Rattus norvegicus: one gene and its partners. The protein of the gene in region 5 purifies or fractionates together with the protein of the main gene of each other region. This does not show direct contact. Links are inferred from orthologs where the notes say so. Each region holds a gene or a part of one and is shown on either strand. Other genes may lie near its edges. The genes, in order: P4ha2, Cpsf2, Cpsf3, Cstf2t and Fip1l1.

Region 1 (5,102 bases), on a different chromosome or scaffold from region 5:
TTTTGTGGCTAACCTCTCAGTTCAGCGGCAGTTCTTCCCCACTGACGAGGACGAGTCTGGAGCTGCCAGAGCCCTGATGCGACTTCAGGACACCTACAAACTGGATCCGGACATGATTTCTAGAGGGGAGCTTCCAGGTAATGCAGCTTCCTTTGCTCATGTCTTCCCAGTGTCTGGGCAGGTCAGACTGGCTTAGGTGCACGTTGGTGTCGGTGCAGATCTTTTGGCTTTCCCTTCGGTGCCGGTCTTCCATGCTTCAACCCCTACCCCAACGTCTTGATTCAGATATTAGCCAAGACCTCTCCTCTGGTGTAGTAGAGAATTGTAGCTCAGGAAACTCCCCGAACATCGCACTCCCGGAGGATGGCTTACCTGCTTCCATCCCTGAGCCTCGCATTGCTTTCTGTCATGGCCGATCTGTAGACTTGCTGCTTATGTCCCACTGACATTTAGTCTGCTCCCTTTCATTCAATCCTTACTTCTCTGGGCTCTCTCCTCGAGTTCATATACAGTCCCCCTTGGCCGCTCATTTCTTGTTTATCCCCCTTTCCCTGTTCTCTGTCATCTGACTTTTTATGAAGTCTCTGTGTTTGCCCATCTCTTGGATTTCTACCCTAGACCCAATGTTCTTTTGGGCCCATTCTCCTCTCCTGATGAGGGTGCTGGGTAGTGATTTATTTTCCCTGGTTCCCACATGCTCCTGAGCCGACAGAGCCTTTATGCCTTCTGTCTGAGATCCTGTTCTTCAAACTCACCAGGAACACTGGGCCAGTAAAGCCAGCTGGTGGATTACAGGTATAACTTCAACCTCACGGTAGCATCTGGCGCCGTTCACTTCTTTCTCTCTGATGTTCTAGATTCTGGGTGCTGATCTCAGATTTTTCTCTTTTGACTCATCTGATAATTCATCCCTCGGCTTTTGTTTGTTCTTTAAATTGGCTTTTTAAATTTTTCTTGCTTAATGCCCACTGCTAGTGGTTATAAGATTTGCTGGCCTTAGGGGGTTATTTGAGACCAATATTCCCAAGGATCCAGCTGGACCTCATTCTTGATTTAAACACTACCTTACTCCTTGGGAGCCTAGGGGAGATATAGCAGAGAACCCACGGGTGGTAGGAGCTGCCTTCCTTCTTCGATGTCCTGTTACTGGTTAGTCAAGGCCCAGGCTCTTGGTATGGAGGACTCTTCTGAGCTGATAGGGAGGACTGCTCTCTTTTTTCCTGCTTCAGTCAGGTGTCGGGCCAAGCCCAACTATGAGGCCAGAAAGAGGAGGTAATTCTGGGAGGCTTTTTGACTTGTAGCTCGGAGGCATGGTTGGCGGTAGAAGGGAGCTGTATCCTGACAGCATCCTTCCACAGTGAACAGGCCCCTGGGTGCCCTGAAGGGGTCAGAGGGCAAAGGGAGTTACTGTCCAGAACTTCACCCGCTATTCACTCTGAGTCCTTCCCCACGGAGGCTCCTGGTTGCCATCCCTTGATGTGTTGCAGATCTGTGTTCCTTGTCAAGGCCTGCCTCCTGGGCTTCCGGCCAGGATAGGCCAATGCCTGTAGACATCTCAACTTGGACATTCTATAGTTTCCACAAGTTTCATATATAGTTTCATCTGTTCCAAATCGAAATTCCCATCTGGTTTTGAACTGATTACCCTTAGTCTTTATCTATTAGCTTAGGTGCAAAAATCACCTCTGCCCATTGGAAGCCTAAGCCATAACCGTAGTCTATGGATTCTGTCTCTTTAATGCCCTCTGACCCTTTTCATATCTCCAGCTTATGTGGGATAATTTTCTGTGTTATCCACTTGAGGTCAATGCTCAGCTTTCACAGTGACCCCAGAGTCTCCCTCTAGGTGGTCTTTGAGGTCCCACTGCCTCCTTGGCTTCCTTGCCTGCTGTTCTCAGCATCCTCATCCCTCTGCTCCAGTACTCTTACCCCTTCTGGGCTCCTCCCTGTCAGATAACCCTTCAGCACACAGCTTAGCTGTGGAGGACTCCACAGGGAGTTCAGGGAGCAGACACTTGAGTTTGCTTGTAGAGAGGATGCTGAGTTCTGGAAGTCATTCTTCACATTCCTGGCATTCACAAGACATGTTGCTTATGGCTGCTGGTCTTTAACATCCTGAGGCAATGTCGTCATAGGTCATCCCATTGAACTTTTGGCTCCAGTCCTTTAAAACTGATGCTGGCGTCTCTATGTAGATAGATATCTGATTAGAAAGGGGACTGAGTCTGAGGCTGGGTAAATTGCCCAGAGTCACACAAATGGTAGGTATTCAGTAAGGTCTGCACATCCAGGCCCCATCTGGGTCCAGACCACAACTTATTTATGTATGTTACACATCCTGCCCACAATAGGTTCCTGGGCCCAAAGAGGGGAGATTCAGGGAGACTTGTGGAGAGAGGAAAGGGGCCCCGTAAGTCCCCTCATCCTTGGCCTGCTGATGACTACACCTTGTGTTTGCTCTCTTGACATCCCTATCCCATGTTCCTTGAGAAACCTACCCCAGATCCTGAGCCACCAGGATGAACAGAGTCTGGTCACTGCAGTAGGGTTTCCTTCTGGGAAGATGCCCATTATGGACTTTAGGCAAAGAGAGTGATGTGCCAGCAGGTCGAGCTTTCCAGCCACGACCAATAGCACTTAATAGGGAGATTCCTGTGGTCTGCAGGGAGGTCCTAACCCTCCTTGTTCTGTGGGACCTGCCCTCTGGTTATTCTCTGAGGAACACACAGTCTTTGCCCTCCCAAGCCTCTCGTAAGCTCTGCGTCTTCCCTAGAGCTAATACTGTTTCTCAGGTCGGAACTGTCTTTGTGGTCACTTTCCCCAGCAGATGTCCCATTAGGCATGAGGCTCACTGAGCCGTTGCTCTAACATCCCTACCGGACTGCAGCCTTTGTTCTTTGTCCCCATTGGTGTCTGTCACCTGTTCCTCTTAGTCACTGTTCATGCCACTCCATCTATGTTCCCTGAGGTCCAGCCTTGAACCTTCTCTGTTCGTTCCTCCTTCAGACTCTTCCTGCATGTCATGGCCCTCACGTAGAGCTTTCATGCCGCCTGAATTCAGCCACGCTTCCTGCTTTCAGAGTTACACGGCGGCCATCTGCCCTCCAGACTATGCCGCTGACCTCAGGGCGGCGTCTGGGTGGGATTTCTGAACCCCCTCTCACAAAGCCCCTTCCCACTTGAGAGGAGGAGTCTGAGCCTTAGCCTATGAACTCTAACTTGAGCTAAGCTAACCTGTTTATGTGCGTATGATGACATTTCATGGTGCATGGCGTGAAGTCCAGGTGGTATTCTGGCTTGGGTCATGTGCCCCTTTCAATGATCCAGGCCTTTTCTAAAGTGAGCATCTCCCTTCTTAAGCCAGCATCCTTTCGGAATCCGATGGTTGTTTTTCCTGCTTCAGGAACAAAGTACCAGGCCATGCTGAGTGTGGATGACTGCTTTGGGATGGGCCGCTCAGCTTACAACGAAGGAGACTATTACCACACCGTGTTGTGGATGGAGCAGGTGCTGAAGCAGCTGGATGCTGGGGAGGAGGCCACTGTTACCAAATCCCTGGTGCTGGACTACCTGAGCTATGCCGTCTTCCAGCTGGGTGACCTGCACCGTGCGGTGGAACTCACCCGTCGCCTGCTCTCTCTTGGTAAGGGGGTTAGGGAGTTGGGGTAGCAAGGGAACTTGACTTTCCCACCTGATCGTCTCTTGGAACTAAATCAGTCCGTTTGTTACCTGGAGGGTGACGTGTGTCTTCCATGATTTCAATCACTGAGTAGCTTCTTGTACAGACTCCTCATATTAGGATGCCCCTAGCATCCTTGTGTGCATGTGCGTGTTGCTCATGTGTGTGGTACGTTCATGGGCATGCGTGTGCGAGTGCGTGTGCACATGTGTGTGTGCCATGGCACTTTTAAAAATAAGGACCTAGTGTTGTGGTGCTTGTACCACTATGCAGGGTGGACCCCTCACCATGTTAACTATAGCTTGAGAAGTAAGCTGTCCCCTACTTCCGGATTGCCGCAGTGACAGCAGTTCCAGCTGAGGTCTAAAGTGGGACTTACCATGCCATTTGTCTTCTGTATGTCTTGTGATGTGGGACAGAACAAGACCCAAAGCTCCGAGTCTCTGAAGCGCCCCGAGTTGCGCCTCTTACTAATACATGGAAATGTGGTTGCCTGGAGTTTCACAGAGCAGCGAGGACTTGGCTTTTGGCTTTGCCACTGCTTTCTGGGGGCTCAAGTGTGAGGTCAGCTCCCATTTGAGCATCCCTCAAGACCAACAAGGGTAGAGGGTTTTATAGATCCCATCAGGTGAGTTAGTAAGAGGCTTGGACAGGGCTCAGGACATCCTGGTTCTCCTCCTGTGTGGAGAAGTCACTGAACATCTCTGGGACTCACTCAGTCTTGCTGTCCTGGAGAGTGACGTAGAAATCCTGCTGTGGTGGTTGCTTCGGATACTGTGATGCCCACCAGAGCTGGGACTCTTCTATTTTTAAATAAAGAGTCGTGGTATTTAATTAATTAATTGTGTGCGTGTGGTGGCGGGGAGGGGGTGTCAGTGTACAAGTGCCACAGTGTACCTGTGGTCAGAGAAGAACTCTCTCATCTCTTGTCAACTTGGTCCTTTCTTTTCACACCGCATGGGTCCTGGGAACTGAACTCAGGTTGTCATGCTTGGCAGCAAGCACTTTTACCTGCCGAGCCCTCTGGCCTGCCTTGCAGCCCTTCTCTTTCACCAGTATCTCAGCTTGCTAGACCTGGCTACACTCTGGGGAATGGGTTTAAATAGCTACAGCTAATGACAGGGAGGAGGCAGAACTCAGAACACGAGGGGCCTCCAGGAGGCTTGAGAAGGTTTCCCCTCCCCCCAGTTACTAGCTAAATGTGCTTCCCCTGTCGCTGGAGTGACGAGCCCAGGTTAGGTGCTGCAGCCAGCAGAGCGTAGCATACCAATGGGAAAGAAATGGCTCGCAGGGCAGTCTCCGTGGATGACCTCACAGAAGTCTGTGGTTTTCTTTCCCTTTTTCTAGACCCGAGCCATGAACGAGCCGGAGGGAACCTGCGGTACTTTGAGCGGCTGTTAGAGGAAGAAAGAGGAAAATCATT
Region 2 (5,780 bases), on a different chromosome or scaffold from region 5:
GGAAGTAGTGACAGTTGAAGGTAGGGGTGACTTCTCTAACTGGAGGAAGTTAGAACTTGCCAAGCAGAAAAGTATTCTGCGCACGAGGAAGAGACATGGGGTGTGAAATCAATCACAGGGTATGTTCCAGAAAGCACAGGAACCCAGCACTCTATGGTACTTCAGCTGTATCTGCACATCTGGGCTCTAGTCTTTATTTCAGTAATTACACCAGAAATAATAGAGGTGTCATCCAGTGTCATTATCAGCGAGGGCTGGGGCCTTCCATGTGATTCTGTCCTGTAGTCATATTTAGAACCTTGTTTTAGAAAGTGGCCAAGGATCCTCAAGACCTTACAGATCACTTTGTCATTGTGAAGATTGAGGATCTGAGGAGAGGGTTTTTTAGATGTTGATCATATTGCCAGAGTTGGTTAATGGTAGTGATTGTGTTTAATCGGTTACCTGTACCCTGTGGTTTTCCCTTCCCCTCCCCTCGCGTGTCCAGGTAAGATTAAAGGACTCACTTGTCAGCTCGCTTCAGTTCTGTAAAGCGAAAGATGCTGAGTTAGCATGGATAGACGGCGTCTTAGACATGAGAGTCTCCAAAGTGGACACGGGAGTTATTTTAGAAGAAGGAGAACTCAAGGATGATGGAGAAGACTCTGAAATGCAAGTGGATGCTCCTTCAGATTCCAGTGTCATAGCCCAGCAGAAGGCCATGAAAAGTCTGTTTGGAGATGATGAGAAAGAGCTGGGTGAGGAGAGTGAGGTCATCCCCACACTGGAGCCTTTGCCACCTCATGAGGTGAGAAGCCTGTGCCATCTCTGCGTCTGTTTAGTGGTGCTGGATTGATGGGGCCTCACACGTGCTCACCACATGCTCTGCCGCTGAGCTACATCCCCGGTCTAACTGTCTCTCCATTGGTTGTTCTTCTAGCTCCCCGTTGTGGTTTTAGCCATTTAAACTACATTGTATGGGGGCCAGTTTTGGAGTTCTTAAAAAGGAATACCCAGGATATATGTCTGTGTATCTTGATCTCTGTAGCTAGAGAATGATAATTTAAAGGAAACCTTTAACATGTAACATGTTCTCAGGAGGGACTTGGTTAATTAGAAAGGCTTCTGGGTAATGACACTAGAGCAGCATCAATACCGTAAGAGTCCTACAGACGTGTCCAGTGACGCCTTTAGCCTGCCGAGGGGTTGGGATAAGGAGATGGCCCCTTCTATTGGCCTCTGAGCTAGCACGACTCTTGAAATTCAGGGGAGACGTGAGGAGGCTTTTCCCTGTGCTACAGCGACAGTGCTCTTCAGAACACTGTCAGAGCAGCAGCACTAGGCAAACCACTCGCTTTTCTGACTCTCAGCCCGGAGCACCCATCACGCTCACTCTGGGGTAGGAGGGAATGTGGAAGTGGGATTAGGGACTTAGCCTCTGAACTAAGCAGGGGACTGGGTCCTGGGAAATGAGGTTCAGTTCCATTCTGCCTCTTGATACTTCAGTTGACCCCTCCAGCAAGTGGGTGAGTGAAGAGCATAATATTACCTTGAGTCTCTGTTATTAGGAGGCATGAGTAATAAAATGGTGAAACATCAGAAGGTGTGAAGGGCTCTGTAATGGTGAGTGACAAAGTGAACCCAGAATAATAGACTCAGAATGTTATTTGCAGTCTTGAAATGATCTGTCAAAGGACTTGAGGGAATTACTAAAACTATCTTAGACATCGTGCAGTGTTCTACTTTATCCAGTACAGCTTTGTGTCTACCGTTCTATTGAAGTCCCTCTTTGCCCTTTGACCTTATTCAAGGTTCCCGGACACCAGTCAGTTTTTATGAATGAACCGAGACTGTCTGACTTCAAGCAAGTTCTTTTGCGGGAAGGGATTCAAGCGGAATTTGTAGGGGGCGTACTTGTCTGCAACAATCAAGTAGCAGTCCGCAGAGTAAGTTTATTTTTAATAAGGGCTGGGTTGAACGAGTGCTTCTGAAGCTTTATCATAATTCTGTAGTCTTATAAATTCATAAAACTGAAAACCATCCTCAATGATGGCTGTAAAGGCTTATAGCAGTGATTCTAATGAATGGTGCATAGTTTTATAGTGAATTTTTATATTTGAACCCTCTGACATTTACGTGTCTGTAAAACCCATTACTACAACCTTTTACCTACATTCAGGAGTCAGGGCAACCCATTTCCTGACCAGTCATGAAATGGCCCACGTAAATGTTGCTTATTGTTTCTGCGTGTTGATGAACGGGAGATGTACTAAAGAACTTTTAAAACTGTTTTTCTAGACAGAAACTGGACGCATCGGGCTAGAAGGCTGCCTTTGTCAAGACTTTTATAGGATACGAGACCTTTTATATGAACAGTATGCCATTGTGTAAAGGACGTCATGTCAAGATGTGTCTGCTTGACCTTTCTCAGGAAGAAAGGATTCTCATCTGAGGCTAAACTTTTGCTGTCTTGTTTTGTAACATACAAAAAGAATGTGCCAGAAAACGTGAGCATGTGTTAGATTTTGAAAAATATGAATCAAGGGCCTGGGGTGTAGCTCAGTGGTAGAGCTCTTGTCTAGCATGTGCAAGGCCCTAGGTTTGATTCTCTGTACTGAATAAAGAAAGAAAGAAAATGTAAATAGAACCCATTTTGTAAATGCTCTTGCCTAGCTCTGAATGCTAGAGGCCCAAGGAAGAGACAGGCCCAGGGCTGGAGGGGATTGGTTTCCTCTGCAGATCCTTGTTCCAAGGGCTCATTACTTGAAGAAGAAGAAAAAGGAGAAACAGACAGACAAACAAAAGGAACAGTGCAACTTAGCAAACCAGTTCATGGCCTTACAGAAACTGGTGTGCATGCATTTGTTCAAGCAGTTTTTTGTGTTTTCTGGAATGAGAAGGGAGAAATTGTATAGAGAGAATATGCTATGAAAGATAACAGAAGCTTTGTGAAACATTTTTATTGAGAATGGGTGTGGCGGTGCTGCTCCTCTTGACCTCTGATATGCAACCGCTCCACACGGAGCCCCCGCCCTCTACTTTCAGTGCGGTGTGAGGCAGTACACAGCTAGTTTAGAAACAAATTTTTATTTCTCCCATTCCTTGTTTATTAAGATTTTGTTGTTATTCCATTTGAATTTATGACCTCATCATTTGAATAAATGTTATCTAAAAGAAAGCCTCTAAGCTGAGTGTGGTACGTGCACTTCTAATCCCGGAACTCAGGAGGCTGGCATAGGAGGATTGGAAATTAGAGGCCAGCCTGAGCCGCATGGTGCGAGCCTGTCTCAGCCAGCAAAAGGAAAGCCTGGTGTGTTACCAGTTCTGCATATATTTCATTTAGACTCATCTTAACTATTGGTCCAGTAACTGTATTTGAAACCATCCAATGCTCTGTTGTTTTTTGTTTTGTTTTTTTTTTTTAAAAAGCAAATGTGGAGCCTCACATTTTTATAAGGTAACAGTGTGATTTAATTAAAGGGTGTAAATGTTTTCCTTTCCCAGCGTGTTTTCTAAGTTTATGTAAACAGCGGTTGGATTTTATGCTTGTTACTACAAAAACAGTACTGAACCCGGGTAACTGCCACTCTTGATACAGCACAAACTCTGTTCGAGAGTAAAAACTGAAAATATGTAATTCTGTTGACTTGAGCTGTGAACCATGTTGTCCTATTGTATCTTGTTGGTTTAATTTTTTAGAAGGTAGCTTAAGCAAGGCTGTCCTTGATGCCTTCTTAAGCATGGAAGCCCCTTTCTCTGCACTTAGCATCCGGAGAAGCCTCACTCTTGCTTAACTTTGGAACTGTATATTTCAGCCCAGTGATCCGCTATCGGTCTAGAATTAGTCTTTTATGCGGTTTCATGAGCTGAGAGAACCTTCAGCTGTGGATTGCAGCACTGAAGCAAAGTTTGTAGCCTTTGGATCCTGAAAACCAGATGTACAAAATAGCATTGCAGAGATGAGTGTAAAAGAACGTATTTTCCTTTTAGCAGTCATGAACCATTCCACTTGCTCCTCTTGCTATATAGAGGAAGCCTAGAATTCAATTTCTATTCCAGGGGAAGAAACCCTGCAGTTACATGCTATAAAGCTCTGGATATACCTATTATGTGGTAATACCTATATCTAAAATTATTTCTTGCCTAACCTTCCTGCCGACCTACGAGCAGGAATTAGATGTTAAAGTACCCCTTGAAGAATGGCTGTCATACAGCAATGCCACCGGAGAGCAGCACTGCTGCCTGTGTCTAGATGACATCATCCTAAACCCCCTGAAAGGGAGGCCTTCATTATTGCCCCAGCTACTTGAGAAAAACATGACTTTCAAAGACAACAGTGGGATAAGTCACGAGAGCAGAGAGGGTCTCAGATGCAAGAATAAAAAAAAACCACACAGCATGTGAGACATGAGCTGATATCTGCAGATAGTTTTCTTAAAAAGAAATTGTATCTGGTCGCAGTGACACATAACCTGGAATTTCACCTACTTCATTCAAACTTGGCTTAAGGCCAGTCTGGACCACATACGACCCTGCCCAAAAGAGGGAGAAAGGCGTTGGGGCTATAGCTCAGTGGAAGAGTCCTTCCTACTGGCACGTGTGAGGCCCTGGATTTGACCCAGGTCTGGAGGCCGAGGGCCTGCTTTTACTGAACTTGTTGCAGTGTGGTTATACTTGTCAGGCGTCTTTGCACTTATTTCTATATTTTTGTGACTCAGTAGGTGACCTGAGACAATAGAGAAGAAATTAGTTTGTTCACCTTTTTTGTGTGTCTGTGTGCAGTTTACATACCATAAAATATTTACTCTTTTTAAATATGCAAGTCACTGGTTTTGGTCAAATCTACAACCATTTCTATGTAATTCCAATTTGTTTTTTCTCATTCCTAAAAGAAACCCAGTAACTGTTTGTACCCCCATTTTCTCTTCTCTCTAGTTAATCGTCAGTCTTTCTGTCTCTCCTGGACATTTCATAAAGAATCATGTAACACGTGGCCTTGTGTGTCCTCTTTCATTTCAATGAACGGTTGTTTTCAGGATTCGTTAATGTAGTAATGTGTTAGCATAATTTTTGTCTGCTTTGGGATGTGGTCTTGCCTTGTATAGCTCAAGCTGGTTCAGACTCATAATCCTCCTGCCTCCGGTGTGCTGGGATCATGGCTGTACACTTCAGTGTCCATTTTATAGTCCTTTGACACTCCTTTGGATGTCACGACTGTTCTTCAGCCAATGTACATTGAGTGGTTCCCAGTGGTCTTGGCTGCTATAAAGAATGTTGCTTTGAACATTCTCGTACAAGACTTTTTTAAAAAGAAAAAGAATAAATAAACATTTGTGTATTTTCTTGTGTGTATGCTCAAGAACAGGATTGTTGGTCCATGTGGTAACTTCGCTTAACCACCTAAGGAATTGTGTATTGTGAAGCAGCTACACTGTTTCCGTGTTCCGACCAGCATATGTGTAAGGATTCCATTTGTTGCTGCACGGGTTGTTGATTCTGTCTTCTGTTCTCACCACACTCAGCCAATGAGGAGGCACTGCCTGGAGGCTCTGACTACATTTCCCTAATAAATAAAAGATGCTGAGCATAACGTGTCTCTTGTGCTTATTGGATGTTTTATATGTCTTTGGAGCAACATCTCCTCAACTCCTTTGTCCGTTTGCTGTTTTATCTTTTTCGTTGTTAAGCTTGGTATGGTCTCTAGATATTTCTGTATGTGCATGGTAAATACTCCCATGGCTTGTGTTCACTTTGTTGGTCACTTGATGGGAAACAAAGTTTATAATCGCAAGGTCCATCCC
Region 3 (5,594 bases), on a different chromosome or scaffold from region 5:
GAGCATTTGGCTTGTAAGGAACGGCGGCGTAAGTCTTTGCTGGTTCTGCTCATCCTGGCCTTCAGCCCTGTGAGCAGTGCTGCTGCTGCTCTCTGTGCTCCGTGTGGCTGATGTAGCTCAGTGCTGAGAGTGAGCGGTCGCCTGATGTGATCCCAGTCCCGGAACCCAGCCCAGACTGAGAAAGGTTTCAGCCAGGCATGGTGGTGTACATTTGACAGAAAGGGGAAGGAGGATGAGTTCAAGGCCAGCCTCAGCTACATAGCAAGTTTGGAGCCAGCCTGGACTATACAAGAGACCCTGTCTCATAGAATCAAAAGCCAAAAGCAATAAAAAGAAGCCGGGTGTGGTGGCACATTCCTGTCATCTCCACACTTGAGATGCAGAGGAAAGACAAATGTGAACCCAGCCTGGGTCTCGACAGTAAGACATCGCCTCAGGGGAAAAAAGGAGTTTGTGCACATGTATGCACACTTCACAGGTCCTGAGGAGGGCAGGGCTAGATGTTAACTGTCCACCCTCCAGGGAAGCAGAGGCCATGAATGGTGCTTTCTTATGTAGCAGGTATTAGCCAGGGAGGTATATGTGGGTGTGCCAGGGTGACCTAACTCTGGCTTCAAGGCAGCATATCTTTTGACCACCAAGTTGTGTATTTCTTGGGGTTAAAAAAAAACTAATTATTAATAGGGAGACACCCTTATGTGTATATATTTTTAGTTCTGTGTATTTATGCATGTGAGTGCAGGGCCACTGTAGAGCCCACAGTGGTTAGACTCCCTGGAGCTGCAGGCCGTTGTGAGCAGCCCCATGCGGGTGCTGAGAACCTAACTCCGCAAAAGCAAGACAGTGCTCTTAGCTCCTGAGCTCTCTCTCCAGCCTGAAGACTTTATTAAAACATTCACAAGCAGATGATGTATGTTAAAACGAACATAACATTCAGATACAAAAGAAATCTTTGGGGGCTGGAGAGATGGCTCAGAGGTTAAGAGCACCGACTGCTCTTCCAGAGGTCCTGAGTTCAGTTCCCAGCAACGACACGGTGGCTCACAACCATCTGTAAGGAGATCCGATGCCCTCTTCTGGTGTGCAGGAAGACAGCTACAGTGTACTTATATATAATAAATGAATAAATCTTTAAAAAAAAAAGAAATCTTTGGGCTTAAATGTATGCTCTGAAATTGTTGAACCTATAATGTTGCTTACCTCTCTTCAGAGTGGAAGTTTGAGAAATATGGAAGCAAAAGTGAACTGAGAGGTCAAAGGACATGAAATAACACAGTGCACATGAATGTGCCTTAGTGGGCAAAGAGACATATCACAGGCTTTTACTATGAAGTCTCCACGGCTACTTCAGGCCTCCGGAACTGTGCTGGGACCGGTGTGCTGACCGTAAGTGGGAATATGGAGGCTGATGTGTCTGTCTTCCAGGTGCAGTGCAGAAGGTCTCTAAGAAGCTAGAGATGCACGTTTACAGCAAGAGGCTTGAGGTCATGCTCCAGTAAGTGAGGGGCCGGGCGGGCAGCTGTGCAGCTATGTGGGTGGAGTCCCCATGCTGCCCACGTACCCAGTCATGTCCAGGTTCACACTGTATTAGCGCTGAGTGCCAGTGCCCTGCCTGGTCTGTGCCCTGCCTAACCGGCCTTGGGGGATGTTTAGGAAGCTAACAGAGTAGTCCACTGGATGCCAGAGTCTCAGCCCAGTGTCGCCGTGCCTTTAAGAATTATTTTAAATGTTTGCTCATGTGTGAATTACTTGGTAAAGCAGGTGTACTAGACTCCTGAGTTTCTGACACTGGTGTCTTTCTATAGAAGTTCTTTAAGCTTCATTTAGGATGCTCTTCCAAACAGTCTTAGAAAAGTCTCTTAATAGTAGATAGCTAACTTACAACTTCATCATCTAACGGTGTTGAATGAATGAATAACTTAGTTTTTCATTTTAGGCAATTGCCTGCAACAGACAGGGGGAAGAAAGATACATTTTGCCTTATAGTTTCAGAGGGCTCTGCCATAGCTAGGTAGCCTTGGCTTTGGCCTCATGTGGAGAATAGCATCATGGTAGTGGGACAGTGTAGTAGATGAAGTTCACCTGTATGTTCTGTGCTTCAGAGTCACAGGCTGTACCCTGAAGAGTCACAGGCTGTACCCATCAGTCATGCTCCCAGTGACCAGCTTCTTCACCTAGGCCTACAGCCTGCTTCTCAGTGCACTTGTGGCAGTGCCCGGGTTCTGAGTCTGTCAGAGTAGGCATCAGTGGATTAGGTCAGAGCCTATCAGCCGGTCGCCAAGCACATAACATTGAGCCTGTGGGAGATGCTGCAAGTTCAAACCCTGACAAAGACTGCTTCTGCCTTCGGATTGAAATTGACCTAATTAGACATCTTAGTATTTGGAAGGTTTTTGAGTTGCTTACATTTTTCTAAAATTTCATACTGAAATTTTAATAATGGCTTTTTATTGTTTTGTTGTTGTTTTGTTTCATGTTTTAGAGACAACTTCACCATATTGCCCAAGTTAGTTCCAAACTGGAAGGCCACAGTCAAGTATGTTAGAGCTGCGTACAAGTCAGCAGCCATTCTAGGCACCTTAGTGAGACTCCATCTCAGGATAGAGTGCATGGTGTGCCATGTCTCTGCCTAGTGTGCGCAAGGCCTCAGTCTTAATCCTCAGTATTAAATTAAAAACAAGAGCAAAACCAGAGCTTGCTAAGGCACAGTGGAGCACCATCCTGGGCAGGCTGTTTTAGTAAATCTATAGTCAAAGGAGCAGCACATCTCCTGGGCAGCCAGAGCATCCGAACACGGAGGAGTTAGAGGAGGACTTGCACCTTCTCCCTAACAGGTGAAGTTGGACTTTCCCAGTAATGCCAAGTTTCTGTTCACTTACAGGGACATATTTGGAGAAGACTGTGTCAGTGTGAAAGATGACTCTGTCCTCAGTGTCACGGTGGATGGAAAAACAGCAAATATTAATTTGGAGACTCGGGTATGTAGCTGTCCGTGTGTCTCAAGACACCTGGGGCCTGGGGTGAAGACAGGAATCAGGCTGCAGCTGGCAGTTAGGTGCTGCAGCTTGGTGGCTGAGGTATAGCTCGGAGGGTAGGTGCCTCCGTAGCGGAAAGAAGCCTTGGTCCCTGGAAACCGAGGTGGGCAGTGTGGAAGTTCATGCCTGTATTCCCAACACCCTGGTCCCTGGGCTTTTCTTCTGTTTTGTTTTATAAGATAGGTTCTTATATATAGTCCAGGCTGGCCTTAGCCTTACGTGCTGGGGTATCAGGCAGTCACCACTAGACCAGCTTTAAAAAAATAACACCATAGCCTAGGCTAACCTAGAACTCTGTAGCCCAAGCTGGCCTGGAACTGTGTTTTGTAGTTGAGCTATAAGACGTGAGCTCCCTTAAGCTGGGTGGGTGGTGTAATGCATGTGTGTCAGCCACAGCTCAGGGAGCTGAGGCAGAAGATCCCCAGCTCCAGGTCAGCCTGAGTTAGAACAAGACTGAAGTTAGTCTGTATAGTGAGACTAACAGAGTCTTTAAAAAACAGTAGCAGCAACAAAGCAGTGGCTGTTGCATGGTTACAGTCAAATTAGCACCAAATGGTGAACAATTCAGCACATCATTGCTGGCTAAGTAATCCATGCCACACAGGCTAACTTGCCTCGAAGGCTGAATAGAATAGGGCTTTGGTCCAAAGCTCTGTGCGTGCCCCCCCCCCCCTTGGCTCTCCAGTCACTATGTTGACAGAGATAGTGCGGGTGACAGGAGGGTAGGTCAGTGGCTCACATCCTGGCGATCAGCCTCCAGGGCTTAGAGTGTTCATTTTCGTCCAGGGGATAATTGTAGGCTGACGTCAGTGCTTTCCCTTTCAGGCTGTAGAATGTGAAGAAGGAAGTGAGGATGATGAGTCCCTCCGAGAAATGGTGGAACTGGCCGCCCAGAGACTGTACGAGGCTCTGACGCCGCCAGTGCACTGACAGCCTTGCCTCCCAGCACTCCACCTTTTACACTTGGCATTCACTTGGGTTCCTTCAAATAAAATACCTTAGTTTCTCTGGGGTGGCCTGTTACTTTTGCATCTGATGGCGACTACTGCTAGACCACCAACTAATTTGCCCACTATTCTCGAACCAATCATCAAAGGAGCTACTTATTGATCATTGGTTTGGCTTCGGGCATTTATGCAGTGTGTGCTGAATGGTCTGTACTGGCAAATCTATTTTCAGTTGAATGCAAACGTGCCTTAGCTTTGAAACCTGTTCTCCACCCCTTACCCAATTCCTTGGTTTGTGTCTATAAAGCCACCACTTTTAGGACTCATCTCTTTGTACGGGATCTGACACATTTTATGTCTCAGATATATTGTGTGGATTAGTTCATTAGTCTGATTTTCGAAAGTACATAAAATTCAGGCTTGAAAGTAACCCAATTGAAGGGAAAAGGGATTAGATTTCAGTGATGTTATTTCTCTGATGGTGAAATTAGCCAGTTCAAGCCAGTTCAGGTATATATAAATGCATTGGTCCCAAAGATCAAGAATAGGGACGTTGCCATGAGGAGAAAGGAAGGGAAAGAGAGCATGGGGAGGAGGGAGGGGTGTCTGGTGTACTACCAAAGAGCCTCTGGAGGAAGGGCAGCCTAGCCCCTGGGACTGAGGGATGCTGGGAGAACCCTGAGGTCAGGTCTGCTATAGGTAGGTAAAATATGCACTTCAGTCCCTTGTAGGAATTGCCTCACCTTCAGAGCACACTATCAAACCAAAGAGCCTCACCCATGTAGCCTGTCTTGTCTACCTCCCCTCTTAGGTGTGTAAACACTCTCCGGTGCTTTGCTAACAGTGTTAAGTCTGACTCTTCCTTAAATGAAATTTCTATAAAAACAGCCAAATTCCCATGTCTTTGGCCTATACCAAAAGCCCAAGGCCCCCATGACATGCAAAAAATTATTACGGTTTTTTTTTTTTTTTTTTCGGAGCTGGGGACCGAACCCAGGGCCTTGCGCTTGCTAGGCAAGCGCCCTACCACTGAGCTAAATCCCCAACCCTAAATTATTACGTAAGCTAAGTATTTCAATTTAATGCTGGGGCACAAGGCTGTGGAGTCAGGAGGTCTGCGGTGAGGGTCCCTGGACAGCTCTGGCTTTTAAGTTGTGTTTTTACTGTGTCCATCAAGGCTACTAACCAAGGAAAGGAAGTTCCCACTTGAGAGTGGCCAGTGATGGACGGGTGCTCCAGCTGTAAAACGGAAGTCAAAACACCACAGCTATCGCCCGTCTCCGAGAGACAGGAGACAGGATTGCGGCGAACAGGCCAAAGGAGCCAAAGTCTACAGACTCACCCGGCCAGGACACTCGCCTGTAGACCAGAGAGCTAAGCCGGTTGGTCCCGAGCTAGCCCCGCCCACTGTTAGCTCCGCCCACGGCACGAGATCCGCCACATCCGGCGTAGACTTGCGGGTTCAGACCTTTCCATCATGTCGCTGTGCGAGCTTGCGGCGAGCGGGAGCTCTCTGCTCTGGCCTCGCGTGTTGCTCTTTGGGGACTCCATCACGCAGGTACACGCCGCACCCTCGGCTGCGTCCGCGCGCGTGTCGGGGCAGGCCAAGCGC
Region 4 (5,844 bases), on a different chromosome or scaffold from region 5:
TAGCCTGGGACTAGAATAGAGAGCAGGAAGTATCTCAAGTGCTGGGATTAAAGGTGAGCCACCATGCCCAGTTTGTGGTGAATGTTTTATTTAATGTTTTAATACCTTTAATCAGTCAGGTAAAGTCAAAGGCCTGTGGTGTTTGCCTCTAATCCCAGCATCCACTGGGAGAAGCAGGAGGTTTGCAAATTTGAAGACAGCTTGACCTACATGCCCAGTGAATTTCAGGCCACCCTGGCTGCCAAGGGGCACCGTGTTAAAACAACGAAACTAATTTTAGTACACCTGATATCTTAATTTATTGAATTAATTGACAACTGAATGTAAAAATGTACCATATACAGATTTCTTCAAAACATAAGCCATAGCCCTATTCTCTTAAGCCCAGCAGTTGGGAGGCAGAGGCAGGTGGATCTCTGAGTTCGAAGCCAGCCTGGTCTACAGACTAAGTTCCAGGGCTACATAGACAAACCCTGTCTCAAAAAACAAAAACAAAGCCAAGGGGCTGGAGACATGGCTCCGTGGTTAAGAGCACTGACTGCTTTTCCAGAGGTCTGGAGTTCAAATCCACATGGTAGCTCACAACCATCTGTAATGTCTCTCTGGTGTGTCTGAAGACAGTGACAGTGTACTCTAAAAAACCAAGAACAAACCAAAATATAAGCTATGATGTTTTTGGATTTTTTCCAAGTTAGAGCTATGAAAATTATGTATTGGTCATAAAAAAGGCAGTATTCAAAGTATAAAACTGGCAAGAATTTTGTTTTATACATTTCTAGTGCTTAGTCTTCAAAATTCTGAATGCATTTTATTTATACAGAGAACATTGGTTACAATGCTAAACTTTAATTGATAATGCTTGTGTTTATTCAGAATCAATGACATTTTGTCATAGGACAGTACCCTGCGCCCAATGTCTACATTGGTTTAATTGTGCTGGAATTAATTTTAAAAATAAGAAACATTAAAATTCAACTTCGAAGACGCAGAGTAGGAAGACTGCTCAGTGGGTAAAGCACTGCCCCTGTGTATCAAGTTTGATCCCAGGGTAGAAGGAGAGAACCAACTCCTGCGAGTAGCCCTTTTGATCTATATAGTCCACAACTATAAAAGTCACACACACACACACACACACACACACACACACACACACACACACACATCTAAATAAAATGTATTTGTTTTAAAAGTTCTCATTTTATGTAGCTCTGGTTGGCTTGGAACTCAATATGTAGGACAGGCTGCCTTTGAATTCAGTCTTACAGTACTATACTGGGAACCCCGTCCCCCCCCCCCCCGTCTTATTTACACACACACACACACACACACACACACACACACACACACATTATATATATAAAATATATGTACATTATATATGATATGATATACAGTTTAGCTGGGTGTGGTATTGAGTCCCAGTACTTGGAAGGCATAAGCAGAGGATCTCTGAGAGTTGGAGGCCAGCCCAAGCTCCAGGACAGTCAGGATTACATAGAGACCTTGTCAATCAATCAATCCAATCCCAACTACCTATATGTGTACGATAAAAGTTAAATGAAATCGATTCATCCATACTCTGCAGTCATACTTTTTAGTTAATTCCACTTTAGCATTTATGTCGCTTAAAATTCGTAAGAGGAGGGAGGAATGATCACAGCCTGCACACACAGAAGACACCGGGAGGATCCTGGACCTAGTAACAGTTTGAACATGCCAAAGCGTTAATTTATCTTTGCGAGAATTATTTTTTAATGTTTTTAAGATAGTTTAAGGGACAAATATCAACATTTTACCTCAAAATCTTGAATAAGATTTAAAATATTTCAAATATTCTATGCTAAACGAAATCAGCTGTGTAAACACACGTATCAGTAATTAAAACATTAAGCCTTAAATCAGCTTCCGGTTGGCGGTTTCCCGCAGGTGAAACGCAATGAAAACCGCCCCCAATGAGCCGAGACGCTGATGCTGCCCGTAACCATAGTGAAGTCCGATCGGCCATTTTTAATGAGGTCAGTTCTAATGTATCCGGCGACCGCAGGAAGGGAGAGAGGGGGGCGGAACGCGGGGGAAACTCGACCAATAGGATCATGGAAAGGAATCCCACTGTCAGTAACTAGGCGCGTAAAGCAGAGCGCACGGCCGGGGGCGGAAGGTGCAAGATAAATTAGTCCGGTCTCAGGAAGCAGTTTCTGCGGCCTAGCGGAACTATGGATTTCTAGCAGAAAGATTTCGGTCCGGAGTTTGGTGTCTGCTTCCGTTACAGAGCGGAAGTGTGGTTCACCAGAGGACGACCCTTGGACGAATTTACTCTCCGCTAAACGCTCGGCAGGAATCATGTCGAGTTTGGCGGTCAGAGACCCAGCCATGGATCGATCACTGCGTTCGGTGTTCGTGGGGAACATTCCGTATGAGGCGACGGAGGAGCAGTTAAAGGACATTTTCTCGGAGGTTGGTTCAGTTGTCAGTTTCCGTCTCGTCTACGATAGAGAGACAGGAAAGCCCAAGGGTTATGGCTTCTGCGAGTACCAAGACCAGGAGACTGCGCTTAGTGCCATGCGGAACCTCAATGGGCGAGAATTTAGTGGGAGAGCGCTTCGGGTGGACAATGCTGCCAGTGAAAAGAACAAGGAGGAGTTAAAAAGCTTAGGCCCGGCAGCCCCCATCATTGACTCACCCTATGGGGACCCTATTGATCCAGAAGATGCTCCAGAATCGATTACTAGGGCAGTCGCCAGCCTGCCCCCAGAGCAAATGTTTGAGCTGATGAAGCAAATGAAGTTGTGTGTCCAAAACAGTCACCAGGAAGCTCGAAACATGCTACTTCAGAACCCACAATTGGCGTACGCTCTGCTGCAGGCACAAGTGGTGATGAGAATCATGGATCCAGAGATTGCACTGAAAATTTTGCATCGTAAGATCCATGTCACACCACTGATCCCAGGCAAATCACAGCCTGTCTCTGGGCCTGGCCCTGGTGGGCCTGGTGGCCCTGGTGGCCCTGGCGGCCCTGGCCCCGGCCCTGCCCCTGGCCTCTGCCCAGGACCTAACGTCATGTTGAACCAACAGAATCCTGCCCCTCAGCCTCAGCATTTACCAAGAAGACCTGTGAAGGACATTCCTCCTCTGATGCAGACCTCGATCCAGGGCGGAATTCCAGCTCCGGGGCCAATACCAGCTGCAGTTCCTGGACCTGGACCTGGTTCCTTAACCCCGGGAGGAACCATGCAGCCACAGGTTGGCATGCCAGTGGTTGGTCCAGTGCCCTTAGAGCGAGGACAGATGCAGATATCAGATCCTAGACCTCCAATGCCTCGTGGACCCATGCCTTCTGGTGGCATCCCTCCTCGAGGACTACTGGGAGATGCTCCAAATGACCCGCGTGGAGGAACTTTGCTCTCAGTGACTGGAGAAGTAGAGCCCAGAGGCTATATGGGACCACCCCATCAGGGTCCTCCAATGCATCATGGTCATGACAACCGTGGCCCTGCCTCACATGATATGAGAGGAGGACCGTTGGCAGCAGATCCCAGAATGCTGATTGGAGAACCCAGAGGTCCCATGATGGATCAAAGAGGTCTACCTATGGATGGTAGAGGAGGAAGAGACTCTCGAGGGATGGAGGCCCGGCCCATGGAAACGGAGGTCTTGGAGCCACGAGGAATGGAGAGAAGAATGGAGACCTGTGCAATGGAAACCAGAGGGATGGAAGCAAGAGGCATAGACGCAAGAGGACTGGAGATGAGGGGCCCTGGCCCTAGTTCCCGAGGTCCGATGACTGGTGGGATCCAGGGTCCTGGCCCCATTAATATGGGGGCAGGTGGCCCTCAGGGACCTCGACAGGTTCCAAACATTGCAGGAGTGGGAAATCCTGGAGGTGCCATGCAGGGGGCAGGTATACAAGGAGCAGGAATGCAGGGGGCAGGTATGCAGGGAGGAGGGATGCAGGGGGCAGGCATGCAGGGAGGAGGGATGCAGGGGGCAGGCATGCAGGGAGGAGGGATGCAGGGGGCTGGCATGCAAGGAGCCAGTAAGCAAGGTGCGGGCCAGCCTAGTAGTTTTAGCCCGGGGCAAAGCCAGGTAACTCCTCAAGATCAAGAAAAAGCAGCTTTGATCATGCAGGTTCTTCAGCTGACTGCAGATCAGATTGCCATGCTGCCTCCTGAGCAAAGGCAGAGCATTTTGATTTTAAAGGAACAAATCCAGAAATCTACGGGTGCTTCTTGAAAGGTTTTCAGCTAAGAAGTACTTAGTTATTCCTTCAGGGTTTACTCTGTGGCATGAAGTGGGTGCAAAAAGCTGTCTTCTGTGTTCGCACACTTTAACCATTTAAGGTTTCCTTCTCCCCAGACCTTAAATCTTATTTCTAGTTTTGTTACTTTCTGTTTTCCTTTTTATTTTTTGATTGAGGGGAGGGGGTGGAGGGGGGGGGCCTGTTTACTTTGTCACTGTTGACTCTACTGGGTACCCTAAAAATGACTACATCATACAAAATAAGGTTATGAGGAAAATGCGGCAATAATTTGCACTTTTGTTAACTGTGTTTTAAAAATACTGAGTAAACTGGGAACTACATAAAAATTGAAAGTGGCTTGTTACAGTATTGATATACTAAGATAGTTTAAAGTTCTTTGGTTGTATATTGAACTGAATGTCAGAATGTTAAGGTACACTTTTTGGTAAAAGAAATTACTATATTTTGGAGGCAGCAGAGTACTGTAGTAAGGTTAATGTTTAGTTATTTTGGAATTATTTTGAAATATTGGAGCTAACAGTTTGTGGTGTAGATGTGTGTTTTTTTAAAGCATTGTTATCTGTAAAAAGATAATTTTCATTTATCTGACTTTTTTTTTTTTGAGACCATTAATATTCTTGCCTGATCCCAACTGGTAATTTTGCAGGATAGTTGTAGTGTCAGCTGAATTACATAAAACCTCCTTCTTATACATTTCTCTAAAAAATTCTTAAGGCCCAAGTCTGGTTGTAAGTAGTTTTTTCACATCCTTTTAAAGAATCAGACATGAGGTTTGACTTTCTTGAGTAATGGAGGTTTTTGGGGTTTTTTTGTTTTTGTTTTTCAGTAAAGCTCCCAAGTTCTTGATAACCTACTATCCATTCACAGATGGAATCCATTAGGTCAGCAAGAACCAGAAGTTAAAATCTTACTCTATGCCTTTTGATATGTCTTACAGTTTGATAACTTTCACAAACTACTTTTCTATCATCACCTTGCTAGAACTGGGGCCCAAGTGAACTGACAACTCTGCTCAGTTAACTTAATATGTTATTTCTCACAACTCACAAAAGCTCTTTGGTCATAACGTAGTTCCCATGAAGTGTGTTTGAGAATAAGGAATGTGGAACTTAATCCATTTCTTTTAGAGCTACTGTATCATTTTCAATCAATGTGGCACCTGGACACGGTGTCATATTTAGATAATGAGCAGAAACAAGCACAAGCTCCCACTTGACCAAGTGGCATTCCTCTGTGGAAAAATAAATACCCACCTACAGAGGGATGAGCAGCCTTAGGGAGGGAGCTGACCCAAGGTTGTTTTCCCTTGCAAAGTTTGAGCATTTTTGAGTGTACAGAGTTTTCATTCCTAGGCTATTTTCCAGCCATTTAGTTTTTGTGCTAGTGTTAGACTCCTGTGGTTTCCTCTGCCTCCTATGCTGAGGTGGGTTTGTGGTCTGTACCTTTGTGCTAGTTCTGACTAATTCCAATTGCTTGCTTCTTTCGAGACTGCAGTTGCTAGCCCAAAACTTCTTACAGTCTTTGTTATAAGAAAATCTCTGCATTGTTTCATGAAAATTAAATAAAAAGGTTATATAATTAAGGTA
Region 5 (5,818 bases):
CTGTTAGCCTGAATCAACCTCTAGCCTCAGCCTCCAGAGGACCTGGAAGGACCGGGTGCACTACCAGGCCCAGGTTGTAGTCATCGTTGTCGCCACCACCATCATCATCACCACCATCACCACCACCATCACCATTGCTTAGAATAGATGGCAATAAACAATGAAGTGGCAAATGAGTATACCCAGGATAAATGTGATATTGTAGTGAGATGAGTTCATAAGATAAGAGGCAGGAGATGGTGTATAAAATCGTCAAATTACCCAATGGCAATGTTTCCCATCGCAAATGGAGAGATTAATCGTAACCAAGGAAGCATATTTATACCAGGAATTTGGTGTAGGAGGAAGGCAGGCAGGCAGGAAGGGGCCCTTTAAGGATGGTTATTAGTGGTTTATGAGCTTCTCTGCTTATGGAAATCATGTTCAAAGCTCAGCTCAAGTACTACCTCCACCACGCAGGCCTCCTACCGCGCATTCCCCGCCGGTCACTGATTCTTTGTATTAGTCTAAACAGTGCTTTGACAGACGAACTCTTTTCCACACTGGAAGGAAAAGCAATCCACTCTGCGAAAGACAATCAACCCTCTCCTGAAACCATCCAATTTTATTTTAGATGCACGAAACTGTAAAATGGAGCTAACCACGGAGAGTGCCTGCCTGCGGTACTCTCAAGCACACAGTAAACCTTCTTTCTGTTTCTTGTATCAAGGGCCAAAAAGATATGGTGCACCATACAACAGATGGAAGGAAAGACGAACAAGCTACGTAGTCAAATAACACAGCAGCATGTGGTCTAAAAGAGAGTTAGCTCTACTCTAGTCCCCTCCCCCACCCCCCAATCCTGCTGACCTACATTCTGCCTCTTGCTCTATTCCAAATACAGTTTGGTGCCTGGAACTCCTAGGTCTCTGCTTCTTTGCCTGTTCCTAATCTCCTTGCCAAGTGCCCCAATCCAGAAACTTCTCCATGTAGGGATCTATTTTTTTTTAACCACCTGATATAACACCTCCTCCCCTTTAATCACTTGGCTTCAGGTCTTTTTCAGCTACTATTATTTTTAAATCATTATCAATAAGATGGTCTGCATTCTATGTGTCGCTCTTCCATTAGAATAAAATCTTCGTGAAAGAAAGATTTTTTTTTTTTTTTTTTTTTTTTTTTTTTTTACTGCCCAACCTATATAGTCTTGAAGAGTTTCTGACACTGGGCAGACTTTCATACGCGTTGGTTGAATACAGGGAGGATTTTACAGAGGAGATTGTACTTAAAAGTTGAAACAATACGAGAATTTCCTACAGGGGAACAGGGCATAGCAAACAAGAGTGAGCGCAAAACTAAGAATTAAAACCCACACGATCTAGTCAGAAGGTCGGCTCTCCCCCATCAATCACTAATTAAGAAAACGCCCTGCAAGTTTGTCTACAGCTTGATATTATGGAGGCATTTTTTCAACTGAGGTTCCCTCCACTCAGATGACCAGTTTGAGTTACATTAACATAAATAAAACTTTCAGGCCACAGAGTCTCCCAATGTAGCCTGAAACTCACTAAGTAGTCCAGGTAACCTGTCTCTGCCTACCAAGTGCTGGAATTAAAGGCATACTCCACTATGCCGGACACTAATAATTTTTTAAACAAAGAGAATGCATCCTGTATATATTAATTTTTTCTTTTGTTGGTTGTTAAAATTCGGACGAATTGACAAGTATGATTGTGGGTCAAGCAAACACGTGCGGGATGATGGCCTTCCGGATTTTAAAACGAACAAATAGTGGAGGGAGAAAAGCAAGGACAGAAAAGAACAATGGTGTAGCAAAGGGAACTTGGGATTGGAAGGAAGGTTGGGGGAAGGGAACTTCAAAGAACACCAGAAGGCAGAGAGAAAGCTACTGCGAGAAGCAAAGCTGGAATCCTAGGGGTGGGGTGGGAGGGGGAGGAGCCAGTGCGCGGCGCCTGCGCAGCGAGAGGCCCAGGTGCTTGCCGCCGCGGAAGCGAATCCACCTAGAGACGCCGCGCCGCTTGGATACTGCTGCGCATGCGCAGGCGGACCAGTTGCTGAATATTCACGGTCGCCGCCTCCGCCGAGGTCGACCCTGGATTTGAGTCTCGCGCTCTCTTCGTTCGCTTACCAGCGGGTTCCCTCCCCTTCTCGCGCCCTGAGACGGCGAGGCTGGGGAAGGGGTTGAAAGGGGCTGTTGATCGTCGCCTTTAACTTGTTCGAGGGGCGGCCATGTCGGCCGGCGAGGTGGAGCGTCTGGTGGAGCTGAGCGGCGGGACCGGAGGGGATGAGGAGGAAGAGTGGCTGTATGGCGGTACGGAACTTCCTGTCTGTCTCCCGGGTTCTCTCTGGCCTTCCTCCCGGCGTTTCAGGCCCGGGCGTCCGAGGCCTCTCGTACTAGCCCTGGCAGGCCTGCGTTAGGCCGAGTGCGGCCTGCTCCGGGCCCTCGCCCGGACCCGCAGGCACTCACCGCGCGGTGGACGCGGGCCAAGGAGGCCGGGCAGCCCTGCTTCGCCCTCCTCCCCACCGTCCCGGCCTCCTCGCTTCTGCGCTCTCTATTCATGCTCTTTCTATCGATCCTGAGCTGCTTCGGTGTCTCTTGCTATTGGGTGCTCCTCCTCGTCCCTTTCTTTCAGAAACAGTCATTCTGTAATAACAGCTAAATAAAGTCAATGCTATTAAACTAATGTCTTGTTTCTTGATGGTCAGTTTGTATGGAATGCACCTGCAAGGGTACCTCCTTGTCTGAAAGTCGTGCTTTAAAAATATTAATTAAGAGAGACAGAGGTGGAGAATACACTATGGTCAACCCTGAGTTGTCTCCTGTATTAAGGTGAAGTTTTTATTTATTTATTTTTTTAGAGACTGCTCTATAGTCCACGTCATAGTTGTACCTCGTGACTCTTCCCGTAGGCTTGTATTCAGTGTTTTGTATTTGTGTCCCCAAATTGAATGCATCATGTACTTTGTTTTTGTAGAGGACATGTTTGATGTTTAAGTCGTAATCCGCCTTGGCTCTTTGTTACACCAGATTTGAAAGTATTTTGTTATTTCCCAGAACATACATTCTTGACATAAATTGTCATAGATTACATAAAAGTGAACGTTGGAGTCTAAGCAGCCTTTTAGTGATGTAACTCCGATCAAATTGTAAAGTCGATTATGTCTTTAATAATGGAAAGACAGCATTGGTACTACCCTTAAAACGTGAAAGTGTGAGGTTTCTTTTACGATGATGTGTAAATCCTCATCGCCTCTTAAATTAAGTTTACATTAATAGCAGTAAAGTCGTGTTTTTTTTTTTTTTCCATAAGAGATGTGTCTTGTTTATAAAGTGATCTAACTTTGGCTATGCTCGCAGGCCCGTGGGACGTGCATGTGCACAGTGATTTGGCAAAGGATCTAGGTTAGTGCTCATGCTCTTCCCTTCAGATTTTTCTACTTGTTGCTTAAGCTTGGTTTCCTCATTTACTTTATTTTATTTTATTTGGTAGATGAAAATGAAGTTGAAAGGCCAGAAGAAGAAAATGCCAGGTTGGTGAACTCTCCTGTTGATGCCCTACACAGATGGTGATTCTAGGATGCCGTCAGTAGTTTTATTATAATCCTTGGTGGGATTGCATTTTGACCAAAGGTTAAAGGACCTTTCCTATTTCAGGATCAATTCTGTCTTGCTTTCTAGCAGCTTATAGGACGGTTCTTGGAGTTAGGTATTTATTTGCCAACCTCTCCCCCTTGAGTAACTTTCACCCTTAACTGGGCTTAGCAGTATATACAGTGGAGTTGGGTTTTTGTTTTGTTTTTCAAGACAAAGTTCTCAGTGTAGTGTGTCTACCCCTGGCTGTTCTGGAACTCACTTTGTAGACCAGGCTGGCCTTGAACTCAGAGATCCACCTGCCTCTGCCTCCCAAGTGCTGGGATTAAAGGCAGAGCAACTACGCCTGGCTGAATATGGTTGTTAAATTACTAAGAAAAAAAATAATTTTCTGTAAGAAATAAAATAACTGAAAGTTGTTGCTTTCATAATTTATTAGTGTTTTTATAGTATCCTTTACTTTTGGTATAGTTTTTTTTTTTCTTTTCTTAGAAACAGGCTCTTAGTGACAGGCCTGGAATTCCCTTTGTAGACTAGGCTGGCCTTGAACTCAAAGACATCTGTCTGTCTCTAGAGTGCTGAGATTAAAGGCATGTGCCACAGTGCCTATGCTTGGCGTGGCTTTAGTGCTTTGTATTTTAAATTCATAATGGAACTAGTTTTTTGGAAGGAAACTATGCTTACTACTATACCATGAACAGAATAGATTTTTTTAAGTTGGTTGTTATTATGCAAAACAGTATTTTTACAGTGTCCAGGGAGCCAAACATTCACTCAAAATTCCACAACTAATGCATATAAGCACATGGCTAAATTGGCTTGCGTTTGATCAGGTGACTGTCTGAAATAATGAGGGAGGAGTGGTCTTAGAGCAATTAAGGGCTGGAGAAATGGCTCAGTTGGGGACATGCATGTGGCATAAGCATGTGGACATGAATGACTACATCCTAGGAGAGATTAGACAGGATGATCTCTAGTACTCACTAGTTCCTCTATACTGTTAAACTCCAGGTTCAATCCGAGACTGTCTCAGAAAAGAAAGAAGAAGAGGGATTGGGAAGATACCTGATGTCTCTGGCTTCCACATGTATTATATATACAAAACATTTAAAGAATATTAAGATTTTCAAAGTGGAGGGGTTAATGCTTCATACCAAGCATGATAGCTATAAACCAAAAGGCAAAAGAGCTATAATGAAGATATGGAGAACCTGGACTGTTTGTACACTGCTGCTGCTATTGTAAAGCGGTGTCTCCTCTTGGGAGCTTCCTCAAATGTTTAAACAGTTAATAATTAATTAAGCAGTCCTACTCACTTTAAATCAGAGAAGTGGAAGCTCACATGAACACAAGTATTTGAACATTACTGTTCTTAGCATCAGTCATAGCTAGTCCATAAAATGGAAATGACCTGCCTGTCTACCAAAACAAAATAATAGGTTCAATGTAATGCACCTTTAAGGAAGTGTCTCCTGGAAGGAAGAAAATTGAGTACCGACTTGCTATGGTATGAGTGAACACCTGAGCGTGTGTTAAAGCAAAGAAGCAGCTACAAAGGACACAGTTTGATTCATAAAGTTTCCAGGATAAGCAAATCCATAGAGAAGGAAAGATCAGTATGTGAGATAGGAGAAAACGGGGATGACTGGTGATATATACTTCTTTTGGGAGGCTATGTACATAGTCTAGGATGTCATAGCATAATTATTACACTGTGAGCAAAGTATATCCCTTTAAGTATAGTCTTTAAATGTATGGGCAAATTATGTCTTAATGGAGTTTCTAAAATGAACACTGGTGGTGAAAATCCATTACAAGTAACTTCTTTTGTGTCAAAAATTTTAAAAAAGGAATTAAACCCTAGAACAAAGGATACATGGAAGGGAGTAAAAGGAGAAATAGCCTCCAAAGAGCTGAGATTTTTGTGAGCTGATCCCTAGTACTAAATTTTATTATTTAACTATAATTCTAACTTTACTTTGTGGTTTTGTTGTTTGTTTTGTTTTTAACTGTATATGTCCATGCACCATGTTCATGCCTGTGGAGCACAGAAGAAGGCATGGGATCCCCTGGGACTGTGGTTCAGGATCGATTGTTGTGAGCTCCCCATGTGGGTGCTGGGACTCAAACCCACAATCTGGAAGAGCAACAGGAGCTCTGAGCCGCTGAGCCAGCTCTCCTTCCTCACAGTTCCCTTTCTCATTGCTCTTTCTTGAGTTCTCTGGG

The links.
Region 1: the proteins of Fip1l1 (region 5) and P4ha2 purify together in Homo sapiens (co-immunoprecipitation; 3 studies listed by BioGRID and IntAct, with this or other methods). This does not show direct contact. The link is inferred for Rattus norvegicus from reciprocal best matches to the Homo sapiens genes FIP1L1 and P4HA2.
Region 2: the proteins of Fip1l1 (region 5) and Cpsf2 purify together in Homo sapiens (affinity purification with mass spectrometry; 7 studies listed by BioGRID and IntAct, with this or other methods). This does not show direct contact. The link is inferred for Rattus norvegicus from reciprocal best matches to the Homo sapiens genes FIP1L1 and CPSF2.
Region 3: the proteins of Fip1l1 (region 5) and Cpsf3 purify together in Homo sapiens (affinity purification with mass spectrometry; 5 studies listed by BioGRID and IntAct, with this or other methods). This does not show direct contact. The link is inferred for Rattus norvegicus from reciprocal best matches to the Homo sapiens genes FIP1L1 and CPSF3.
Region 4: the proteins of Fip1l1 (region 5) and Cstf2t purify together in Homo sapiens (co-immunoprecipitation; 3 studies listed by BioGRID and IntAct, with this or other methods). This does not show direct contact. The link is inferred for Rattus norvegicus from reciprocal best matches to the Homo sapiens genes FIP1L1 and CSTF2T.

What each region holds. Positions count from the first base shown.
Region 1 is NC_086028.1:38,756,456-38,761,557, forward strand, and holds part of P4ha2 (prolyl 4-hydroxylase subunit alpha-2 isoform 2 precursor), read left to right. Parts: coding exon 1-137; intron 138-3,403; coding exon 3,404-3,643; intron 3,644-5,026; coding exon 5,027-5,102. UniProt on the Homo sapiens protein: Catalyzes the post-translational formation of 4-hydroxyproline in -Xaa-Pro-Gly- sequences in collagens and other proteins.
Region 2 is NC_086024.1:126,912,066-126,917,845, forward strand, and holds the end of Cpsf2 (cleavage and polyadenylation specificity factor subunit 2), read left to right. Parts: intron 1-487; coding exon 488-787; intron 788-1,790; coding exon 1,791-1,925; intron 1,926-2,277; coding exon 2,278-2,370; 3' UTR 2,371-4,734; downstream 4,735-5,780. UniProt on the Homo sapiens protein: Component of the cleavage and polyadenylation specificity factor (CPSF) complex that play a key role in pre-mRNA 3'-end formation, recognizing the AAUAAA signal sequence and interacting with poly(A) polymerase and other factors to bring about cleavage and poly(A) addition.
Region 3 is NC_086024.1:46,588,731-46,594,324, forward strand, and holds the end of Cpsf3 (cleavage and polyadenylation specificity factor subunit 3), read left to right. Parts: intron 1-1,210; coding exon of another isoform or gene 1,211-1,266; exon of another isoform or gene 1,267-1,407; intron 1,408-1,425; coding exon 1,426-1,495; intron 1,496-2,881; coding exon 2,882-2,978; intron 2,979-3,860; coding exon 3,861-3,965; 3' UTR 3,966-4,043; downstream 4,044-5,594. Other genes in the region: Iah1 (isoamyl acetate-hydrolyzing esterase 1 homolog), read left to right, coding at 5,460-5,540. UniProt on the Homo sapiens protein: Component of the cleavage and polyadenylation specificity factor (CPSF) complex that plays a key role in pre-mRNA 3'-end formation, recognizing the AAUAAA signal sequence and interacting with poly(A) polymerase and other factors to bring about cleavage and poly(A) addition.
Region 4 is NC_086019.1:238,363,771-238,369,614, forward strand, and holds Cstf2t (cleavage stimulation factor subunit 2 tau variant), read left to right. Parts: upstream 1-2,271; 5' UTR 2,272-2,340; coding exon 2,341-4,230; 3' UTR 4,231-5,838; downstream 5,839-5,844. UniProt on the Homo sapiens protein: May play a significant role in AAUAAA-independent mRNA polyadenylation in germ cells. Directly involved in the binding to pre-mRNAs.
Region 5 is NC_086032.1:34,026,038-34,031,855, reverse strand, and holds the start of Fip1l1 (pre-mRNA 3'-end-processing factor FIP1), read left to right. Parts: upstream 1-2,102; 5' UTR 2,103-2,229; coding exon 2,230-2,311; intron 2,312-3,358; coding exon 3,359-3,403; intron 3,404-3,491; coding exon 3,492-3,531; intron 3,532-5,818.